3 linked regions of the Mytilus edulis genome follow. The protein of the gene in region 2 interacts with the protein of the main gene of each other region in a pairwise test. Links are inferred from orthologs where the notes say so. Each region holds a gene or a part of one and is shown on either strand. Other genes may lie near its edges.

Region 1 (7,796 bases), on a different chromosome or scaffold from region 2:
ATCAAGTTTTGATATTACAGCAAAATTGTAAACAATCTGATTGAAGATTTTGCTGTAGACATTTCGAATTTTCAGGACTCCGCGTCGGATAAGGACCATTGGGAAAATATCATCACAATATTTGTGAAGGCCATCTTTTCACCAAATTACATGGAATGGTGGTGAGAACTTTAGAAAGGCGTTTAGTCGAATATATTGACGCGCGGTTTATATTTATAGTTATTTCTTGGAATTTTTGTGTGAAGTATAGTTATATAGTATAAAGACGGATGGTTCAAATAATCCTTTTATGGTTCAAAAGGGGGTAAGTGGTTTTAGTAAAGTCGACAGTGGTCTACCAATGTTTAAATCTTTGTAGAGTAAAAAAACCTCTACATACATTTAACAAGTTCGATATGCTGTATTTGAACCGTCTTATATATCCGCCAAATAATTGTATAAAGCAACACATCAATCATCATGCAGAGGTTTCATATTCCAGTCATGGGGAAAAAAATACTGCTTGCTTTCTTGATAAAAGTTATCAAAGGTATTATAATTTAGTACGCCAGACGCGCGTTTCGTCTACATAAGACTCATCAGTGACGCTCATGTCAAAATATTTATAAAGCCAAACAAGTAAAAAGTTGAAGAGTGTTCTCGATATTTAAAGTGGAGAAACTCCATTTTCAACCTATTCATATAAGAATTGTTTCCTGAGAAAGAAAAAATTATTCAGTGAAGATAATTGACACCACGCCATATGATTTATGATAGCGACTGTTCCAAATGAGAAAAACCGGTCAGTGGTGGTCGTTGGTTGCTGTCTGTCATATTTTCCCCGTTAATACATTGCCAAAGTTTCAGGTAAGTTTATTGATGGATTAAGTCGGAGTGCCCGAAAAAAAAACCCACCGACTTTCGATAGGAAACGGGCTTTTGACAAGAAAATTTCGTAATAATATCAGTTATACCGATTTTTTTCTGAACGCCTTCATATATTGAGCTGATTATCTTTGTGTGAGTCTGTTATGATGATTTACAGATCGAGATTACGTTTGGTGAAAATGGTGTCTTGAAATTTTCATTGATAAAGATATTTCTTCAAAGGGGACAGAGTTTGACCCGTGTTAACACGATTAATACCCATAAACCAAATTGAAAAAACCAGCCGAATTCTTCTTCTTCCACTTTGTTGTTCACTTGGTTTGCCAAAGAGAATCCACTCTAACATAGGCACTAGCTTAGATTTCACCATCATCACAGAATTATGTCACATCACTGGAATGGAAGTCAAGAACCACGGCATGTCATCCTATGGGGAATAGCATGACAAAACGCTTCAACCGAACACTGATCAGTAAGCTTGGTACCATTGAAACAACAAACAGTGGAAGTCGCGTGTCATTGGACTCGCCAATACATATAATTGTACTCGATAGACAACAACTTGGTTTTAACCGTACTTTTTGATTTTTGGTAGACCACCAAGATTACCAGTGGACATTTGCCTGGGTTAAGATATGAATGGCAAGAAAGAATCAGCAACGACGTATGTCGATGCCGTGTAAAAGCGACTATAGAAGGAATATGATTTAGCATCAAGATATGCATGAACAGCTTAAGATAGACAGAAGTCATTTATTAACAAAAAAGTTAGAGGTGCCATTCTACAACCATGCGACAGAGTGCTTGTCAGATAAGTAGTCACGACGGGAAACAAGATTACATACACGTGGTAAGAGGGCTCGTACCGTGTTGTTACACAGCCTAACAACGACACCCCAGTGTATTTGATTCAGAATGAAAATGGAGAGGGAAAGAAGAAAACGCTACACAGGAACTTTTACTACCTTTTTTAAAAGCTGCCGATTGATACTAGTAATAAACCGAATAGCTATATCATACAGCTGCAACAAGTTGTTTATAGGAACAGCATACAAGGAAAACAACTGACAACGTCTGAAGGCATCAAACAGACTGATGAGACAGAGTCAGATTAGGAGTCCAAAATGGAGTAGTAAATGATAGTGCCTGAGATGACTCCACAGGGTAACCGTGACAATGATGCTCCAATCAAATGTCGAAAAGAACCAAGCAACTGAGGCTCTCAACTCTACTGGTAACTCTCGTGCTATCGTTGTGGGAAGACAGGACTCTGGTTTTGGAGAGGATAGTCTAGTGTTGAGTTGAGATGTTTTGAATATTAGGAGGAAAGGAGCAGAACGTATGTTTGTTTATGTTGGGGGAGTGGTATCCATGAAAGAAAACAGTTGTGGAAAACATTTGCATAAAAGAATTTAATGTTACTTAAAGTTATATTTAATTTTAATTAAATAATGTAATAGCAATGAGGTGTCCTATATATATGACCGTTCAGTCGTCACAATCATGTCTAATTTTTGGCAACAGTAGTGTACCAATGTTCAATTCTCATAATCAATTTTAAGATGATTGATACACCAGAGTAACAAAATAAGTGAGGATATCTCATGAACCCCAAAAGGAGTGAGACTAGGGGTGCATCGACATGGTACATTAGTTTCTATATAATTTTCCTGTCATGATCATTCTAATGCCACAAATAAAAAATTAAGTAAGTAACAGAAAAAATCCTTATAACAAAAAAACTAAAAACAACATTAATTATTAATGCTGTTTGATAGAAATGAAACTGAATGCAGTCGTGAATGAAAATAGACCCCCAAAAAAACATATCCTTCAAAAAAGGAATAAAAGCGTTGTTTACTCATATGTTATAAAGAATAAAATTAAAAATATATTATTCATGGCCTATACAGTAATACCATAAAATCGTCTTATAGGGCTTGAAGAGCCTAATAATAATCGAGAAAACCTTCCAGAAGTTCAAATGCACTGGGGAAAAAAAACAATTTTATAACTATATTGATAGTATCAAGATGAATAAAAAGCAACAAACATCACTGGAAGACGTGTAAATCATGTAGGGTTTCCAAAGCTGTATCCTCAAATATATTTGCGGGAAACTCAATTTCAACGTTATGAAAAAAATGACCGTCGCCATCTTCCGCATAATTCCAGAACTTTGCTTTGCAAATATGTGCAACCGTTATAAGTTCAACAAGTAAAATACTTTGCATATGTTTCAGTTTTTGAAAACGAGAAAACATGCATTTATTGTATAACTTTTTTTTTTAACTTCTCTTTAGGATCGAACCAAATTACCCAGAACAGGTACACATCTGGTTTGTAACTAAATAAGGTTGTTATGTCAGCAATAGTTTACTTGGAAAATATGTTTATTGACTGTATGAATTACATGTATTTAATTCCACAAATAAATAAACTTATCCGTAATATTTGATAACTTGTGATCGAGTTACTAGGAAGTGAAACTTATACAAAATCAATTTGTAAACAGAAGCTGGCTGGTGGAGATTTATTTCCCCGAGGGTATCACAAGCCCAGTAGTCAGCACTTTTTGTGCTGGCATGAATTATCATTGATATTGTTATATTTATAAATTAACTGTTTACAAAATTGTGAATTTTTTTAAATAATAAGGCTTTTCTACCTCAGGCATAGATTACCTTAGCTGTATTTGGTAACACTTTTAGGAATTTTGGATCTCAATGCTCTTCAACTTTGTACTTTATTTGGCTTTTTTTTTAATTTTTGGATTCGAGCGTCACTGATGAGTCTTTTGTAGACGAAACGCGCGTCTGGCGTATATACAAAATTTAGTCCTGGTATCTATGATGAGTTTATTGACCTAAACAGCCATTATAATATTTTTGAAAAACCTGATACAGTAACTCATCAACAGAAGTTCACCAAAGTCAGCATAGAGACAGCTGTTTTGTATTTGATGCTTTTCATACGTTAAACTTCTTGAATATTTTGAAATTCACATCCATATCTTTTCTGTACACTGTCTATTCTATTTGTCTGTAAAAAGTTCTCGTTTCGTCATCAAATCATTGATTTTCTGTGCCTCTCCCTTTGAATGTGTATACCAGTGGCGGATCCAGAACTTTTCATAAGGGGGGCCCGCTGACTGACCTAAAAGGGGGGGCCGCTCCAGTCATGCTTCAGTGATTCCCTATATAATCAACCAAATTTTTCCCACGAAAGGGGGGCCGGCCCCCAGAACCTCCCCCCCCCTCCCCTGATCCGACTACGTATACTACCCGGCTGCTTGTCCGCAGTCTGTGTGTTGTTGAAATATTTTGGTTATATATTCTTGACCATGAAGATTGGCCAATACAACTTGAAACTTTGTTATTCTCTTACATCAGTATGATCAGATGGTCTTTTGGGTCAAATTATAAAATATCTAAAAAAAAAAACATGTTGATGTTGATGCGAACTGTAAGGCATAGTCAAAAGTTAACAGTCAAGTCTTCATAAAAAAAAACATTTTGACTTACAAAGTCAGAAATTTCAAAACTGGCCTTTTATCAAATACGAGATATTTCTATAGATTAGTATGGCGTGGACACTATTGCGATCAAAAGACAGTGTTCCAGTCATAGAATAAATGTGCATGCGGTGTCCAGCATTGTGCACAACCCAATACTGTCAAGGCTAAACACAGCTTTATATTTTTATTGTACAGATTGCCAATTTAAACAAAATGTGCATATTTGATTCCTGTTTTTGTTGTTTCTTGTCGGTTGTTAGTGATACTTGATTTAATCAAAGCGTTTTATGAGATGGGACGAGATTGTAGGACGAAAAAAGGCGATTCCATCAATCTTGAAATCAGTAACGCGTTTTAAGGAATTAGTTTTCAATAGGGAAACTGAAGCTATATTTTAATGAAGACGAACTATTTTCGTTTTAGCATCGACAAATTAATTTCATTTTAACGATATGGAAACACTTCTTGAGCAACAACGACGATACCATGAAGAAAGAGAACGACTTCAAGATGCAATGACCAAGGAAATGCTTCAACCTAGCAAAAATGTATGTTGGACTTATCACGTAAATTGTAATCATTTCATGTCAATGTTCAATGATGTTCCAACTTCAAGTCACCCAAATTCACCAATTTGACCCAAGAAAAACAATGTATTATTTTCAGCGAACACGAATCAGAACAATACCGTTAGTTGAATCAAATAATATATATTATCAAAAGTTAATGTTATGATAATGATTAAACTCCTTCAAAATTAAACATAAATGTATGCATATGCAAATTTAATCCTATACACCTTATCGCTATTTGTCCGCCATTGCTGGAAATCACACAGGTTCCCGTAAAATTTTGACGTCATAAAACAAAATGTCTGACGCCACAATGGAAAAGTGATTGTTGTTGACGTCAAAAGTTCAAGCGGACAGGTCAGCCGGGAATAGCGATAAGGTGTATTGCTGCTCGAGGGACACATGTGTCCACACCGAATGTACCAGACCAAGGATTTTTATAGTGTCTCACTATACAAATCCTTGACCAGACACATATAGCCATGTTTCAATTTATGAAATCTTCTCTTCATTGCTGTGTCTTTTTCACATCTACATTCTACGTTGATCTGTCAAACAATAGTTTACTTGGAAATTGTTGTCGAATGACGTCATTACTTGACATCTGAAGTCACAGATGTCGAGCTGTCATATTTTCTGGCACACAAAATGCAACCTTGAAAAACAACTGGCAGCAGAGGGTGATTTTTTTCCATTATTTGTCAATACATTTATGTTAATTGTTATACAATATAGCTTCCAGTCATGCCAGTCATTTTTATAAATTTAAAATAATGTTATTTCAGGGTAGAGAACAGATCAATTCAGACCAGCGACTTCGGCATCTACTAGATGTAAGTAATCATGTAATAAATGATAATGAATGGCAAAAAAAAATGCATCTCAGAAATTTTACAAGAAGATCAAGTTTTTATTCTGTAAAAATGATAATTAAAACATTTATTGAAACAGTTAATATAGCGAAAGCTTGTGTGCTTTTCTTATCAAATGCATAAGTTGTCATTTGTAGTGGGAATTTGCATGATGTTGTTTTACCATATGCATAGATGCCAACCATTACGATTTTTCCGTAGTTTTTCCGATTTTGCGATAAAAACTACGCTATTACGGTCAAAGTCGAATAGTTACGGATTCCCAATCATCGACGTTCAATTTTGTAAAACGCGGATTTTTATCATTACTTTTCCGTCCTGGTCCAGTATTTAGGAAACGCCAATGTAATGCTTCCGGTTTCTCGGGAGTTATCAACCTATTGTTGGGTAACTAACTGACTTCCGAAGAGGCAAACTTGCATTTTATTAAGTAGCTTTCCCCCTTTCTCTACTTCTCCTTGACAAAACAAAAATGTTTGAGTCGAGAACATCTGAACAATTAATGAATGGAATACATACTTCAGACAACATGTTAAATGACAAATTTTAGTGTGCATCACTTTGTAACCACTCGTCAGTAATTTTTATTGGTAAATGCACGTTTATGAATGATTACTGAAAACTTTTCAAAAATACGGAAAATTTGATAGTTTGTTACTGATTGTGTCAAAAGGGGGTTGGCATCTATGCCATATGGAGCTAAAATCCCACAGTTATACATTTGTATATTATACACATGTCTAGAAAAGAGTAGGCAAAACAGGCTTGTGAGGCAATTGTTTTAGATAGTTATCCCTGAGTTATGGTAAAAAAAAATGAAGAATTTGGGATGATATAATCATATTTATATTGAGTCTAAACTACATCATAAAAACTTTCATAGTCATATTTCTCTTTTGGTGTTAAATTTTAGAAAAAAACATTTTTCTGTTTTTAAATAGTTTGTATATTTGTCTTGTGCTTTAAATGAATAGTTGTAAAGTATTGTCTTATGAACATGTACAAGAAATATATATATTGCAGCTTATTTTATTTGATGAATATCATTACATTACAGAGATATGTAGAATGTACAACAGAATTAGGGGATTTGTATGAGGATAAAGATGGGTAAATATTCATAATTATAGATATATATATACATGGAGAGAGTGATAGAATTTTCTGAACATGAGATGCATGAAGTACACATTTTAAAGTTTAGTTAAATGCTTGCTAGTCGTGTTAACTGTAGACTTAAAGATTATTAATTAGTAGAATCTTATTTATGAATACACAATTGTTATGTTTAGTGACCTTCATAAAGTTTGCATGTTGTAAACTGACGGTGAAATTTTCTTTACTGTGTCTGTTGGAACATCAATTTGAAGAAATGAAAACAATACCCTGATTGGATTGATATAAAAGCAACATTTCTTCTAATAAGAATTAAGAGATGTAATGTGGTATGATTGCCAATGAGACAACTATTAACCATAGTTCAAAAAGTGGATATAAGCAATCTTGTTCTCTTATTTCATTATTTTCGCATAATAAAAAAGACACCTTTGCCTGATACTTCACATATAAAACATTTGTTCACAACAGCAGAACCATCAAAGTCTGTCTCAGTTTTGGCATGTACTGGTTGAGTTGTACACCAAGATAGTGTAGTAACTGTAGTTATTGTTCACATAGGTTCTTGAGGTCCAGTTAATATTTATTTGTTCTCTTTCCAGAATGAGAAAAGAAGAAGTACAGTCCTTATCAGGACCGAATGAGTTTTCTGAGTTCTACACTAGACTTAAGCAGCTAAGAGAATTCCACAAAAGGCATCCAAATGAGGTATGAACATTCTACATATATAAAAAAAAAAAAAAGATTTAAAAAAACAGTATCTGACATACTTGCAAATTCTATATTATTTAGACTCTCTCAATAAGTCATTTCTGGAATCATGTCTTTAACCAGAAAAGACCATCAATTTGC
Region 2 (6,953 bases):
CAAAGTTCATGTTTAAGATTTGGAAGCAAAATGCATGTTTAAATAAAACAGTTTTACACAATTGACAATACTCATCTTAACTGTTATCTTTTTAGATATTAGGGCAATCTAATTAAAATTAAATCCTTTAATTGCTCCTGTTCTGATATGTCGCGCATCAAGGCTTGATGCGCGACATATCAGAACAGGAGCAATTAAAGGATTTAATTTTAATTAGATTGGATATTAGGGTAACACTTCAACAATAAAACTGTAAAAATAAGATACATACTGCTGTTTAAGTCTAACAGACACATCTTCTTTCTTTGCAGTGTTGATATTAAATGCGGACATCTTTACAGTTTTCTGACTTTACGCTCCCAACTTGAATTCTGTCAGTCTGTAAAATAATAATCATCAGTTAAATTACTCATGAAGTCCTCTCTTTATTTATTTATCAGTCCAAAAAATGTAACATAAGTGTTTCTCAACAAAACACACAAAATCCTACAGTAGGAAATTTTGAAATTGTCAAGAAAGAAATTGTAAATTCAATTTCTAATGCAATTAGTTTGTAACGATAATTTTCATTGGACCTTGACAGATATTTTAAGGGGTTAGATTCCACGTTCTACCAGTCCATAACTAAGAAAGCCCCCATTTTGAAATCCGAAAAAGTAAAAATACTTTTAAGTATGTATGTTTGACAAATTTATTTTAATACATATTGTATGTGGCATTAGAATGGAGATAACTGTATTGTACTTTAAGCTTAGCCTTCGTAAAACTTGATTTTACTGTCGCAAATATCTGTTTATCTATCTATGCTCCGCATCAATAGGTAAACTCAATTCGCAACAGTAAAATCTACCTTTTAGGAAGGCCAAGCTAAAATACAGTTATCTCCTAAATACAATGCAACCACAATTGGTTTCACACTAGTCATTTTTGGGGCCCTTTATAGCTTGCTGTTCAGTGTGACAGTGAGCCTTGAGGCTTCATATAGGAGGCTGTACTTTGTCCTGTAATGGTTTACTTTTAACAGTTGTAATTCAATGGAGAGTTGTCTCATTGGCACTCATACCACATCTTCTAATATCTATTGATTTCAAATCTGAAATAGTATTTTTTCCATGTTTAAAATACTGCAAAAAATTGGGTTGATTCAATTTGAATTAAAAACAATCACTTAAATGATCCCAGACATGCTAGGGGTTCAAATTAGTTGTGGTCTGAAGTTCCGAGACGTATCAGATTTACAGTTGGACTTCCAATTTGGTTATTGGCCACACCAAATGTACTTTTGAGTTTTCAAGTTTCAGAAAGCATATTTGATGAATTTCTGTATGAAACACTTATAACTTGCAAATGTTTTATGGGTGCTTTCATTAAGATCCGCGTTCTTCATATTAACACATCTTCTTCTTCTTCTTCACATACAGAAAAACATCAACTGGTTGATGATTATTTTTTGGGGCATGCCTGGTTTAACAGTATTGTTAAAGGTTAATAATTATAAATATATTTTCTAATTTCATAGTGGTTGTAAACGTTGCTAAACCATGAGTTTGTTTCTCTTCTAATGTGGAGAAGCTTCCAGAACCTGTAAAATATTGTATAAAATACCAAACTGACTCTTATACGCATAGTGATATACACCCTTTATGCAGTCTCATACACCTTATCGCTATTCCCAGCTAACCCGGCCGCTTGAACTTTTAACGTCATTCAACAATCACTTTTCCATTGGGGCGTCAGATATTTTGTTTTATGACATCAAAATTTAATGGGAACCTGTGTGATATCTAGTAGTGGCGGACAAATAGCGATAAGGTGTATACGGGGTCTGTTCTCCGATCCCACTTATTGTTAAAGAGAATCCTGTATCTCGCTTATAGTTTAGTGAGAATCCTGTATCCTGCTTCTCGTTGCCACAATGGCGCATGTTATTTCCTGTGCCTCGCCAAGCTTTGTTTCTTGTTTTCATGCTTAAAAGGGCTCTTCACGGTTAGTTGGGCCATATTGGATAGGGGCAGATTTTCATAATGGAGGTAAAAATGGTGTGAAAAATACAGGAACACATCATTAAAACAGAGCAGTTGCTTAGAAACATGCATAAGAAATGTAAGATTTCCCACACTTTCATACTATTTCCACCTCTTTCAATAAAATCTGTCCCCTATTCAATTTGGCCGAACTAACCGTGAAGAGCCCTATTATTTGACTTTCACTTGTCACGCTTAGATAAAATCGGCCAATCTTGGTCACACTTATATAATAGACCCACCCTATATGTATGTACTTTCGAGAGATTCCGCCAATTTAGACACACCCCTTGATTGACTGCAAGGGTACAGAGGATCCATGTACACTCCCTAAGGATTAATGGAGATGTGTCCTTTACAATATTAACAATCCCTACCCAACACCGCCCAAGGGAGCCTGTAGGACACCGGGAAGTCTGTTATTATGGTGGAGGAAGCCAAAGTACTTGGAGAGAACCAACAGGCTACTCGGTGGAAACAGACAAACCAGAGAGATATCAGAAGATTGATCTCCAGGGTCAAAGTAGGGGACAATTTTCACCAACCGAGGCACCCAAAGTACCCATTTTTATAGTTTAAACTCCATTGTACCAGAGATGTGTGTGAGAGGGTGAAAATTACCCTTCTGATGTACTAATATGGGGACAAAGTCCCCAATAACGGTAGAAAAATCAATAAAAAAAAAAAAAAAAAAAAAAATCGGGAAAATTTCCTTTGTACTAATGAACTCAAAATCGTTAACTTTTTTTTCAGATCTACTTCTGTTTCCGGTCTTCTTCCGTTTCCGGTCTTGTTTGCATAAGACTTTGAATAAAATGTATATTTATCAACATATCAACAAATATAGGAAGGAACTCAACACCCAATCATTTTTAATATTTGTTTGATATGAAAAAAACGTTACCTGGATAACAGCGTTTCTTTGTTTATATTGAATATGACGTCATAACTTAAATAACGTCACAACTAAACCCCTAACAACAGAACCAACATCGGAAACGTTACGGTATTTCCGTTTCTTTTAGGCAGTGTCTGCGAGTACCCGCATGTGGGTACCAATAGTCAAATTGACATTTGTAGGCTATGCGTACCCACATCCAGTTTTATAATAAAATGTAATCAAATCGGAAATATATACAGAAATTATCGATAATATGGGGATTTCGAGTAACACGAGTGAAGCTAGGGTATGACAAATAATATTTTCGAATTTAATTTATAAGTTAATAATATATAATGAATGGTTCAACCTTGCAAATTAAATGCACATGTACTGATTGAATATGAAATATACAGTCCCTGTAAACTATAGTCCTATAATATATAATATCCGAATTTTAAGTTGCTTCCACGCCTCAGAGGCAAAATATTTGTTGATGCGGTGAAGGTTTAAATTACATTTTCGTCAAACATTTTGTTATCTATTTACGAAGCTTCAGAAATAATGTTTTAATTAGGCCTTAATTTTTCCTGTCGAACATGTTTAGAATTTTTTGCCTCCGTGAATACAGGAAAAAATTATTCTGTAAAACTTTGTAGACAAGAGTCAATGTTTGGACCTTTCATCGAACTTTACTGTTAAGTGGTGCCGTACTTTTCACAATTTTTTTTTTAATTTGAACCCCTGGATCCTGTAATCAAAGGCTACCGTTACCTAAATTTCTCCTCAAATCTTCATTTTACCGGATATCCAAGGTAAATATTTGGAAAGTCTCGCGAGAAAAATGGAGATTTTACTCTGGGTTTATAAGACGCTTAAGAGTTGAAAACGTACTTTTGTTTAAGATTAAATTGTGGGCTTAACAGCTGCTTATATCATTGTAATCCAATGCATATAAAATTTTATCAGCCTATATATTTCGCCGCTAAAAAGAATATGTAGCGCTATAAAAAGATATATTTCAGGCAAAACGTTTTTGCGACTTTGATAAACCTTAGCGACTTCCGGTACGTTTTTACTCGCAGCAATTTAGATATTGGAGGTGTTCTACTTCAAGATCACTTTTTCCAAAATGCCGCCTATTGAGAAACTTATATCTGTACAGGAAGAGAAAACAGAAGAAGAAATACAAGCAGCTAAACCAGTTATTGGAATCATATACCCTCCCCCAGAAGTAAGGAGTATCCTTTTAATGTCAACAACATATGTCTCTCACTCTTTAGAATAGAAAAAATATTAGAAAACAAAGTAAAGGTTATTATACATGTATAGTCTTTCTAAAGAAACTTGTGTAGAGGTATGTATGTTGTTTTCCTCCAGAGACAACTGTCTGTCTTGTAGTTGCACACAGAAAAAAAACAAATCCCATTATAATTTTTTTTTAAATCTTGCATAGATAAATAAGCTTAAATTATTAAGAAAGGGTATCAGGTCCATTCGCCCTACTTACATATTTGCCCTGAGTTCTTTCGCCCAGAGAGTCTGGTCGCCCTGGGATCGGTCTCTCTACTTTTATTAAAAAATATTAATATTTGATAAGGGTATTAAAGTTTAACAAACTTATTCAAATATTTATATAATGCAAGTTCTTAAAAAATCATGAAAACGCATGAAATTATCTAAAAATGATGGTGTTTTTATACCCCCGCTTTAAAAAAGGGGGGGTATACTGTTTTACCTCTGTCTGTCCGTCGTACCGTCCGTCCGTCAGTCAGTCCGTCCCATGAAACTTTCGTCACATTTTTCTCAGGAACTACACATCCACCCTTTCTGTAATTTGGTATCAACATTTACATATGTCAGCTATACCATGTGATGCGTTTTCAGATTCATCACTTGACAACTTCCTGTTTACCGAACACTTGTCTGATTTTACACATGATAGCCAAATTGAAAATTTTCGTCACATTTTTCTCAGGAACTACAATACAAGGATTTCTGAAATTTGGTTTCAGGATTTATATAAGTCAGCTATACCGTGTGATGCGTTTTCAGATTCATCACTCGACAACTTCCTGTTTACCGAACACTTCCATAGTTTTACACTATTAATATTATCCACTTGCGGCGGGGGTATCATCAGTGAGCAGTAGCTCGCAGTTTCACTTGTTTTTTTTGCATTAATCATGTTAATTAACGCTAATTGAAGGTAGTAATTTGAAGCCAAAGTTTAATGATAGTCGCCCGTTAGCATGGTTAGTAAACAATCATCAACGAAGCATAGGTATTTAGGTAAGCACATGTATAACATGTACAATAAGAGATAGTCTATGATGATGACAGAGCGATGATTACGTTTGGTTTTCCATTTGCACTTGCGTATTGAGATCTCGGGATTTTTACAAGAAAGGTCCGTCTGAGGTAACTGCATATATGGAAAACATGTTGGCGAATTGTTTGCTGGAAGCAAGCAATTAAAAAAAGTCAACTTCTTCTTAATTTTGACAAATAATAAAATTTTCTTGAGAAAAAAATATATATTTACTTAAGTTTTATAATAAAAACTATCCATTTAGTCATAAAAAACATATACATAAAAGTTTCATATGACTTTAAACATGTTCACTAACAATCAATCAATCTTGAGCAGTATATTGCTGAAGCATGTTAATACTATATTAAGATAAAATATCAGTATGCAGCTTAAATTTCACCTCTTCAATAAAATTTAACCAATGTGCTATATATTTGACTGAAAAACTCTGTGCCCCTGGTGCTTTAAAGGCTGGGGATAATATGGTTTAGCATTTTATAAATATAAAATATTATGATAAATATTCATTGATTGTCTTCAGGACAGTAGCAATAAAGTATATTGGTAAGTCATGTAATTTAGTATATTGTAAGTTAACATGCTTAAATCAAGTTTAATAGTTTACCAGCAGTATTGATACAATGTACAATAAAGTATATCATGTATATTGGTAAGACATATTAGTACATTTACATTGTTAGTTAACATGCTTAGGTCAAGTTTAATAGTTTCTTATGAGTATTAATAAAATAAAGTATAATATTGGTAAGTCATGTAAGTATTATATTGTTAGTTAACATGCAAAGATGAAGTGTAGGTGTATCAATACTCAAGAAAAGAGCATAACAGAATCTCAGTGTTCCTAAATTGGTGTATTTATACACAAGGAAGGAACAAAATAAGAATTTACTGTTCCTCTGCAAATTGGTCACAAGTTTGCTGTACTATCAGTATCTGTCTTTAAATCTCATCTCTTCACATGTAACAAAATTTTACAACATACATGTACATCTATCCCAACCATGTCACCCACACATGAATTTGTTCATGTGTTGAATCAAACTAATTTTTGTATTTATTTTAAATTAAACAATTTGTGGTTAAAATTTAGAATCTGCAACTGTGTAATTCTCATTCTGTTGAACATGTACAGTTCATACATGTATATGAGTACAAAAATTATGAAATCATTAAGTTATTGTAAAAGGCAGTTACATGAAATAAGGTTTATAGGCTAGAGTGATACACATGAAACATATTCAGTTCATATTCAATTCTTCCTCACAACATTTGAAGAAATTGTTAGTTAAGAATTTTTCAAATATTGATACTTTTGTTAATTGAAAGAATTTATTTTTATTTTACCTCTTTGATCTATATAGACCAGAATACTACACTGAATTGTAACATATATCATTTCTTTAACAAGGATTCTAAGATATTGTAGACAAGACTGCTAGCTTCGTTGCCAGAAATGGACCTGAGTTTGAGAGCAGAATCCGTCAGAATGAAATTAACAACCCTAAATTTAATTTCCTCCAACAAAATGACCCATACCATGCATATTACCAGTATAAAGTCAAAGAGTTCAAGGAGGGCAAAGGTAGATAGATTGCTGGTGTTTAAATAATACCTACTACAAGTACAAAGTCAGAGAAAACAATGGTCATGATATGGATAAGATTGTTATGTTATGATCTGCATTTACAATATATACTTTATTCTAACATGACGT
Region 3 (7,782 bases), on a different chromosome or scaffold from region 2:
TGATGATCATTAATGACCCATCCGATAAACGGATTACCTATAACAACAGATTATGACACCAGTTGTAACCATTGATTAGCTTGGGGTGGTAAACAAAGTCATAATCTTTTCCCCAGGTAAAATTTAGTAATTAGCGTATCATATCAATACGCAAATTAATATGCAATCGATCTTCAAAAAAGGCAGGGCGCCCTGGAAACTGTAAAAAGGGCACAGGGCGCCACTCGGAAAAGGGCGGGCGCCGCGCCCTCTGAAAACGGCCTAGCTGGAACACTGTGTAACATGTATATCTTTCCCACAACTGTCAAAACCCGAAATTTGTGAGGGCCTGCTACATTTTATCAATTTTTAAACCTTCAATAAAATTCAGTGATTCAGAATCTAAAGTAGAAATTAAAACATCATAATCTGGTTTACAGTTAGATATCTGAGAACTGTCATCTTCACAATCATAAAACATCATAATCTGGTTTACAGTAAGATATAGAACTGTCATCTTCACAATCATAATCTGGTTTACAGTAAGATATAGAACTGTCATCTTCACAATCATAATCTGGTTTACAGTAAGATATAGAACTGTCATCTTCACAATCATAATCTGGTTTACAGTAAGATATCTGAGAACTGTCATCTTCACAATCATAATCTGGTTTACAGTAAGATATAGAACTGTCATCTTCACAATCATAATCTGGTTTACAGTAAGATATAGAACTGTCATCTTTACAATCATAATCTGGTTTACAGTAAGATATAGAACTGTCATCTTCACAATCATAATCTGTTTACAGTAAGATATAGAACTGTCATCTTCACAATCATAATCTGGTTTACAGTAAGATATAGAACTGTCATCTTCACAATCATAATCTGGTTTACAGTAAGATATAGAACTGTCATCTTCACAATCATAATCTGGTTTACAGTAAGATATAGAACTGTCATCTTCACAATCATAATCTGGTTTACAGTAAGATATAGAACTGTCATCTTCACAATCATAATCTGGTTTACAGTAAGATATAGAACTGTCATCTTCACAATCATAATCTGGTTTACAGTAAGATATAGAACTGTCACAATTATTGGTCCAGGATAAAAACTCTGTTGAGTCCCCTTAGGAATGTCAACCCAATTACTAAGAACAATATTTATCTAATTTACTATTTTCTGCTTGAAAAATAAGATTGACGAAGTGAAAAAAAAATGAAATGAGACACCATATGCTACAAGGGTTATTTTCGTGCATCGTTTTTCAATGTGTTTTGACATTAATTTTTATTTCTCGTTTTCTCGTGTTTGGTTCGACGTGCGTGCTTCGTGTTTCTTGTTATTTATTGTCCGTGTTTCGTATTGGTAAGTAATTTTTCGTAATTGTCCAAAAATTGACTCGATTAAAAAGTAAACCAGGACTAAATTCAAAGTTAGTCCCGAGATTGTTTTGAATTATTTGTTTCCATGATATTAATGGCTGTCAAATTATCTTCAATTATAACTATGAATACTATGAATACTTTTTTTAATCAGATGCAACTAGCGGACCGATACAAGAGTTGACCTCACCATGCCATTAATAATGACTGCATGATTCCAAAGAACGTCAGAGTAATAACTTCTCAGCCGAGAACTTTTTTCCTTAATAAATAAATAATAATAAATAAGCTTTATTTAGAGTCGGCATGGTATATAAAACATAGACAAACATAAGCTCTAATGAGCTTTTAACCGACATATGAGACATTATTTAACAGTACAACATTTATAACAATACAATACATAATATAGTACACATGCAATAACTATCACAGCACAAAAATGAAGCACTTAAAGCAGAATATAAGCATACGCTAGATATTAAGGCTAAAAACATATAAGTGTAAACTAGGCATAAAAGCTGGTAAAAATGCATAGCATAAAAATTGAAAAAATGGGATATGATCTAGATGGTAAATAAATTTGCATAATATATAAACTAAAAGTCTGCACAAACTGTGCACTTACAGTCATTTCCATTCCATGACTTTAAAATATTTTTGAACTGACTAAAATTAGCAATTTTTCTAAAATCATCAGGTAGATCATTCCATAAAACAGCAGCTGTGTATTGTAAAGAGTTCTTACCATAGGTTGTTGTTCGGACCCTGGGTATATCTACAATATTAGAATATCTAAAATTATATTTACAGTCTTTCAAAACAACTAAATCATGTAAGCATGGTGGTGACAATTTATATAAAATTTTAAAACACTCAATAGCCATGTTACGCATACGTCTTATTTTCAGTGATGGAACCTTTGCTCGTAAAAGTAGTTCATCATATGAACTAACATAGTCTTCATATATAAATCGTAAAGCCCTTTTCTGAATTTTTTCCAATTTTATTGGTGGTGTTATTTTTCTTGCAAAAATGCCATGCCAAAGGACAAAAATTAAAATTAGATAAAATAAATGTGTGGAAAATTGTCAGTTTATCCAATTTAGTAAGGTAGCAGCCAATGCGCTTTAAAACATTCAGTTGTTGGGATGCTTTACGACAAATATTTTTAATGTGGTGATTAAAATTAAGTTGATAGTCAATATCAATACCCAAAAGTTTGACAATCTCATCACAGGATATTTTTGCTGACTGTATATAAAAACAGGCTTTTTTGCAAATGTTTTATTTCCAACTGCAATGGCTTGGAATTTGTCAGGATTTGCCTGCATACAATTAAATCTGAACCAGTCAATTAAAACAGCACTTTCTCTTTCGAGTGTACATAATAAATTATCAAAATCATTGTCAGCATAAGACAGAGTATTGTCATCGGCATAGTTAAACAAGGTACCATGTTCAATAAAATAAAATATGTCGTTTATAAAAATATTAAATAATAGGGGCCCCAGGATTGAGCCTTGGGGTACCCCTTTCTGGATGTCAGCCCAACTGCTGAGTACTCCCTGAAGTTTGATTTGTTGCCTTTATTTGTTAGATAATTTTGAAGTAATTTCACTGATTTAGAAGAGAGACCGTAGGCAGATAATTTACTTAAAAGAATATCATGAGGTAAACAGTCAAAAGCTCATTGTTCGAAAGATCCATAAGAATAGCTGCCACATATATTATAATATTTACAATTTAATTTCTCGTGCTTCGTTATTCACGATTTTTAATTTACGTGCAACGAACGATGTGTGTTTTTGTTATTTCAAGTGTTTTCGTGTTCACTTCATAGCTCGATCACCTTTACCACCATCTGCTGCATATTCGGCCAACCTCCTACAAGCCTAAATAGCGTGGTCTGACATTCTGTGGATCGTTCAAAATTTATTGAGCACTTATTTTTCACATAATTTGGAGAGTACTCTTTCTTGAGATAACAGTAAATTGAGTTTAAGGTGGTATATTGTTTTATCACTTGTCCGTCCAGTCGTCGAATACTCTTCCCCTGTCTGGGATCCGTACAAAAAACATCACATCACTCAGGTTGAGCAGGTACAGCGTAAGGCAGCCAGGTTTGTCTTCAATGATTATAAAGACAGATCACCTGGTGCAGTTTCAAACTTAATTAAATCTTTGGAATGGGAAAATTTAGAAATAAAAAGAAAAAATGCTAGATTTACTATGCTGTATAAAATAAATTGGGGGTTAGTGGAAGTTCCTAAGGACAATTTAACAATATCTGATAGACGTACTAGGGGGAAACATAAATTTAGGCAAATATCTACAAATAAAGATTTCTATAAATTTTCATTTTATCCTCGCACTATTTCGGACTGGAACTCACTACCTGAAGCAATAGGTATGTCTGACACCCTGGAATCCTTCAAAAGTGGCATATCCACTCTAACACTTGAAGGATCCACAACAACTTATTAAACTACAAAGCCACTGTACATAATGTATATATGTTATTGTTAATGATTTTTCTTTGTCAAATTATTTTTAAATTAAGTCCATATGTACATAGCACACAAGTTCCGGGAAGTTTTACACTCCTACCTAGGAGTCTACTCCCGTATTCGGAAGAAGAAGATGGGTGTCTTCCTCCATCTTGGATTGTAAAAAACAGAGAATCAAAGGTCCAGATTTTCCATCAAGTTAGCAAAATTTGATGCAGGAATGCAGATGTTGAATGTACATTTTCATTTAAAAGTACCAATTTATAAGAATATAACTTCTAAATATTGATATTTTTGCAAATGTTAATTATTTTTGGTTGTTTTTTTTGGGTTTTTTAATTGGCATTTTAAGGGGAGGTAACTCTAAAAAAGTGCATTTTCTGAAGGATTCTGTATGGAATTTTCCTATTTTGTATTTTAGCTGGAAAAAACGTACGGTGACCCTATCTTTTCTTTTGATATTCTCAAAGCAGTGTCTGAAAGCTATCTTTTCCTGAAGTATTTAACAATTCTATCATTTTGTTTAGTTTCTAATCACAAAATGGTATTTTTTCCTGTATAATCCATACAAAATGTGTCATTTTGTCCCGTCCTGTAGCTTGAGAAAATGCGCGGTGACCTATCATTTTTATTATATTTTTCAACATGTATCAATAGATACAACGTTTTGGCAAAGTATGAACAAATTCTATCATTTTTATTTTAGACTCCCATACCACCTTAAGATTTTATTGGATGTTGCAAGATAAATGGTTCGTTCTTTGTAACGGTGAAATATTAATACATATTGGGTCTTTAGTTATATGTGACTCCGCATTTTACTGTACCCATAAAAGCGTTCCTTCAACATTGCACTGGTTTTCTATTTTCATTTGCTATGCTCTTCTATATACAAGGGTACGGCAACCAGTAAATCGTCAGAAAAGCGTTGTTTTGCAAATAATTGTACATGTGGAAATAATAGCCGGTAAACGGCACAGTGTTCCTCGTCAGGTATTAATGAGATGTAAAGACATGTGTGTTTGTAAATAACATATTTAAATGTCCCATTGACAATCATCCCAATGGCAATGACCATGAAGACAGGCACTTCGCCCCTTGAACTTGTTTCATGCGATGCATTTATTTTTTCTATTTCTTTCCTTCTAACTTCGATCTGATACTAGAAAATGCATAGCTATATACAAGAATCCGTTTAAAATTATTTTTCAATAAAAGGTCAGTTTAACTGTTCTACTACAACAAGATGGAACACAGTTCTACTACAATAAGTCATTATAAGATGGAATGTCAGATTAGTATTTTTTGTGCCTTTTGTCAGTTTTTGGGAATGCCGAATGGTTAATTCTTTTAATCACCGGTGGAATCAGACCGCCTCATTGACGGTGGTCTCCTGGTAGCATAAAAAATTGAGAATGGAATTGCTTAATGGAAAATATGTCAAAATGTTCTGACAATGCAGCGAGAAACTTCACCCCGTTAGGCCAATTAAAATTAATTGATAGATTTTCATCCCCGCCCGCCCCTTTGAAATCGTTCAGCCCCCGATTTTTTTTATTTAGGAAAAATTACGATTTCCAGATTTTGTTCATGTCCATTATCAGTAAACATCGATAATTTTGTTTCATTTAAAACTTCCTGTTTCAAATTTCGTTTTTTTTTTCAAACGAAAATGATTAAGTCGACATATTCTGCAGCTCTATGATGTCAACATCATGTACCGAGAATAGAGATAGATTACAAGAAGGGCATGAAATATTCGAGTTTACACGAGTTTAACGCTGTGTCCAAGAACGCAAATCGCGGTATGTCACAAATGATTAGAAAGCCGTTTTTTTTATTTATACAATGACTTAGCTTTGTGTCAGGAAATTCGGACTATGAATTCAATGATATCGAAAGCAAAGGAATCATGGAACACATTGGTACAAAAAAACGTGTCAGGATTACAGAAATTGACACCAGAAAGAACTTGTTAGATTGATTACCACCATAAATTGAGCTAAAAAGAGGATCGAAAAACATTAATATTATAGCAATTCGTTAGATTTTAATATCCATGGCTATCGTGTTTTGTTGACAAACAGCAAACACCCTCTGATTAAACCACAACTTCTTTTTGGTTCAGTTCATGTTTTACATCATAATTGTATTTGCATCTTGCTTTAGCACCAACCCTATTACTTTCAACATTGTTGGAGTTTTCATTTAATTCTGTATTCATAATACTTGTATTGCATATATTTGTACAAGTTTGCTTAAATTTATGGGAACTTCAAACCATCGGTTAGAAAACAAAATAAATTTGGTGTAGGTATAGTCCAACTGAAGTGAGCATTAATTTTCTCCATGTTTACAAAAAACAATGATAGATAGGTTTCTAAAGTGGCATTTACATGTAAAACAGTCAATTGTGGTTGCCTATCAGAGATATAAAGAGTTTGAAAATTTATGAACGATTCCTGATACATGAGTCATACATGTATATAAACGTGATATATTAGCTTATTTTACACTTGTTTATACCCCTGCGGTATATAGAACTCGTCACTAGAGGGTTTCTTATGAAATAAAATTTAAAGAATAAAATCCTCCCACCCGCCCCATTTAAAAAAAAAATTTGGATGAAAATCTACTAATTAATTTTAGTTGGCCTTATTTGTAGCAATGCTGGGCCTCAGCTGGCCTCTAAATAAAAATGTATCCTAGTTAAGTTAAAAAGGGCATCAAACTAAACTCTGAAACATACAAATGAACCAACATTAAAAAAAAACCACAAGATTAACAAAGATCAGGTGCTCCTGCCTTGGGAGTTGCAAAAATGGGGAGGGATGAAACATGTTTGTGAGTTCTCAACCCTCCCCTAATACCTCCAGTCAATGTAGATTAAAGAAACGCACAGAAATACACAGGTTCGCCTTGAGTGCTATAATTTGTGGGTTTCAAACCATGGCTTGAGCAAACCAAATACTGCTTTTCTGCTAAGCACAGGACTTAAAGTCTTTAAGGAGTAAGAGCAAACACTGATTGTCTGGGAATCAGAATAATGAGTCTGGGTATTAAAGGTGACATGTCTTCCTGTGGACTTATACATTTTGTACCTCTTGGATGAAGAGGTTCAACTGTAAAGGTTTTAACCAAATATTATTTTAAAGTACAATCATAAACAATTAAAGAGATATATTACCAAGATTAATAAGACTAAAATTAGGATGTTGCTGCACTTTATGGGATCCTGGTGCAATTGAAGTACAGTACTGAATCTTGTGTATGTTACCATGGTTACAGAGACAATAAAACATCAGAAAAAAATGTGATTATAAGAAAAATTCTTCAACTTCTCTAAGCTTTGTAAATAAAGCTACCATATAAAGTTTTTCATAATTGTTTATTAATACATTGACATCATCCAATTATAGGTTGGTCATCTGAAATAGACCATGGATTTCCAAAACAGAGCTGGAGGAAAGACAGGGTCTGGAGGAGTAGCCTCGGCCTCTGAGTCAAACAGAGATAGAAGAGAAAGGCTACGCCAGTTAGCTTTAGAGACAATTGACTTAAATAAGGTATTTTTCTCCAATTTTTATGTGTTTAGTTTACATTAAATGTTATTATACAAGATCTAGAGCTTTGATTAATTAAAAAAAATGATTAATTTAAAAAATTTAAGTCTGTCACATGTCGTCTATATAATTAAATATTTAAACTTGTTAGATCTAAAGTTTTAGCACTAGTCTTCGATTCAGCAAGAAGTTTTTATTTGTTATAATGGATATATTTGGGGGGTAATTAATTATTATTAAGAACAGATAAGAAAACTATTTAACTATTGATCATGTTGATATTGATGTGAACCTAGTGATGAGATATATATATGATGAGTGATTGTACTCATC

Evidence for each region. The genes of interacting proteins can lie anywhere in the genome.
Region 1: the proteins of splicing factor 3A subunit 1-like (region 2) and splicing factor 3A subunit 3-like interact in a two-hybrid assay, tested with the Caenorhabditis elegans proteins (2 studies listed by BioGRID). The link is inferred for Mytilus edulis from reciprocal best matches to the Caenorhabditis elegans genes prp-21 and prp-9.
Region 3: the proteins of splicing factor 3A subunit 1-like (region 2) and splicing factor 3A subunit 2-like interact in a two-hybrid assay, tested with the Caenorhabditis elegans proteins (2 studies listed by BioGRID). The link is inferred for Mytilus edulis from reciprocal best matches to the Caenorhabditis elegans genes prp-21 and repo-1.

Annotation. Positions count from the first base shown.
Region 1 is NC_092353.1:19,794,477-19,802,272, forward strand, and holds the start of splicing factor 3A subunit 3-like, read left to right. Parts: upstream 1-4,748; 5' UTR 4,749-4,836; coding exon 4,837-4,932; intron 4,933-5,741; coding exon 5,742-5,789; intron 5,790-6,885; coding exon 6,886-6,938; intron 6,939-7,546; coding exon 7,547-7,652; intron 7,653-7,796.
Region 2 is NC_092346.1:97,751,251-97,758,203, reverse strand, and holds the start of splicing factor 3A subunit 1-like, read left to right. Parts: upstream 1-3,942; 5' UTR 3,943-4,036; coding exon 4,037-4,145; intron 4,146-6,656; coding exon 6,657-6,821; intron 6,822-6,953. Other genes in the region: zinc finger B-box domain-containing protein 1-like, read right to left, coding at 272-333.
Region 3 is NC_092350.1:35,651,530-35,659,311, reverse strand, and holds the start of splicing factor 3A subunit 2-like, read left to right. Parts: upstream 1-4,734; 5' UTR 4,735-4,879; intron 4,880-7,305; 5' UTR 7,306-7,326; coding exon 7,327-7,452; intron 7,453-7,782.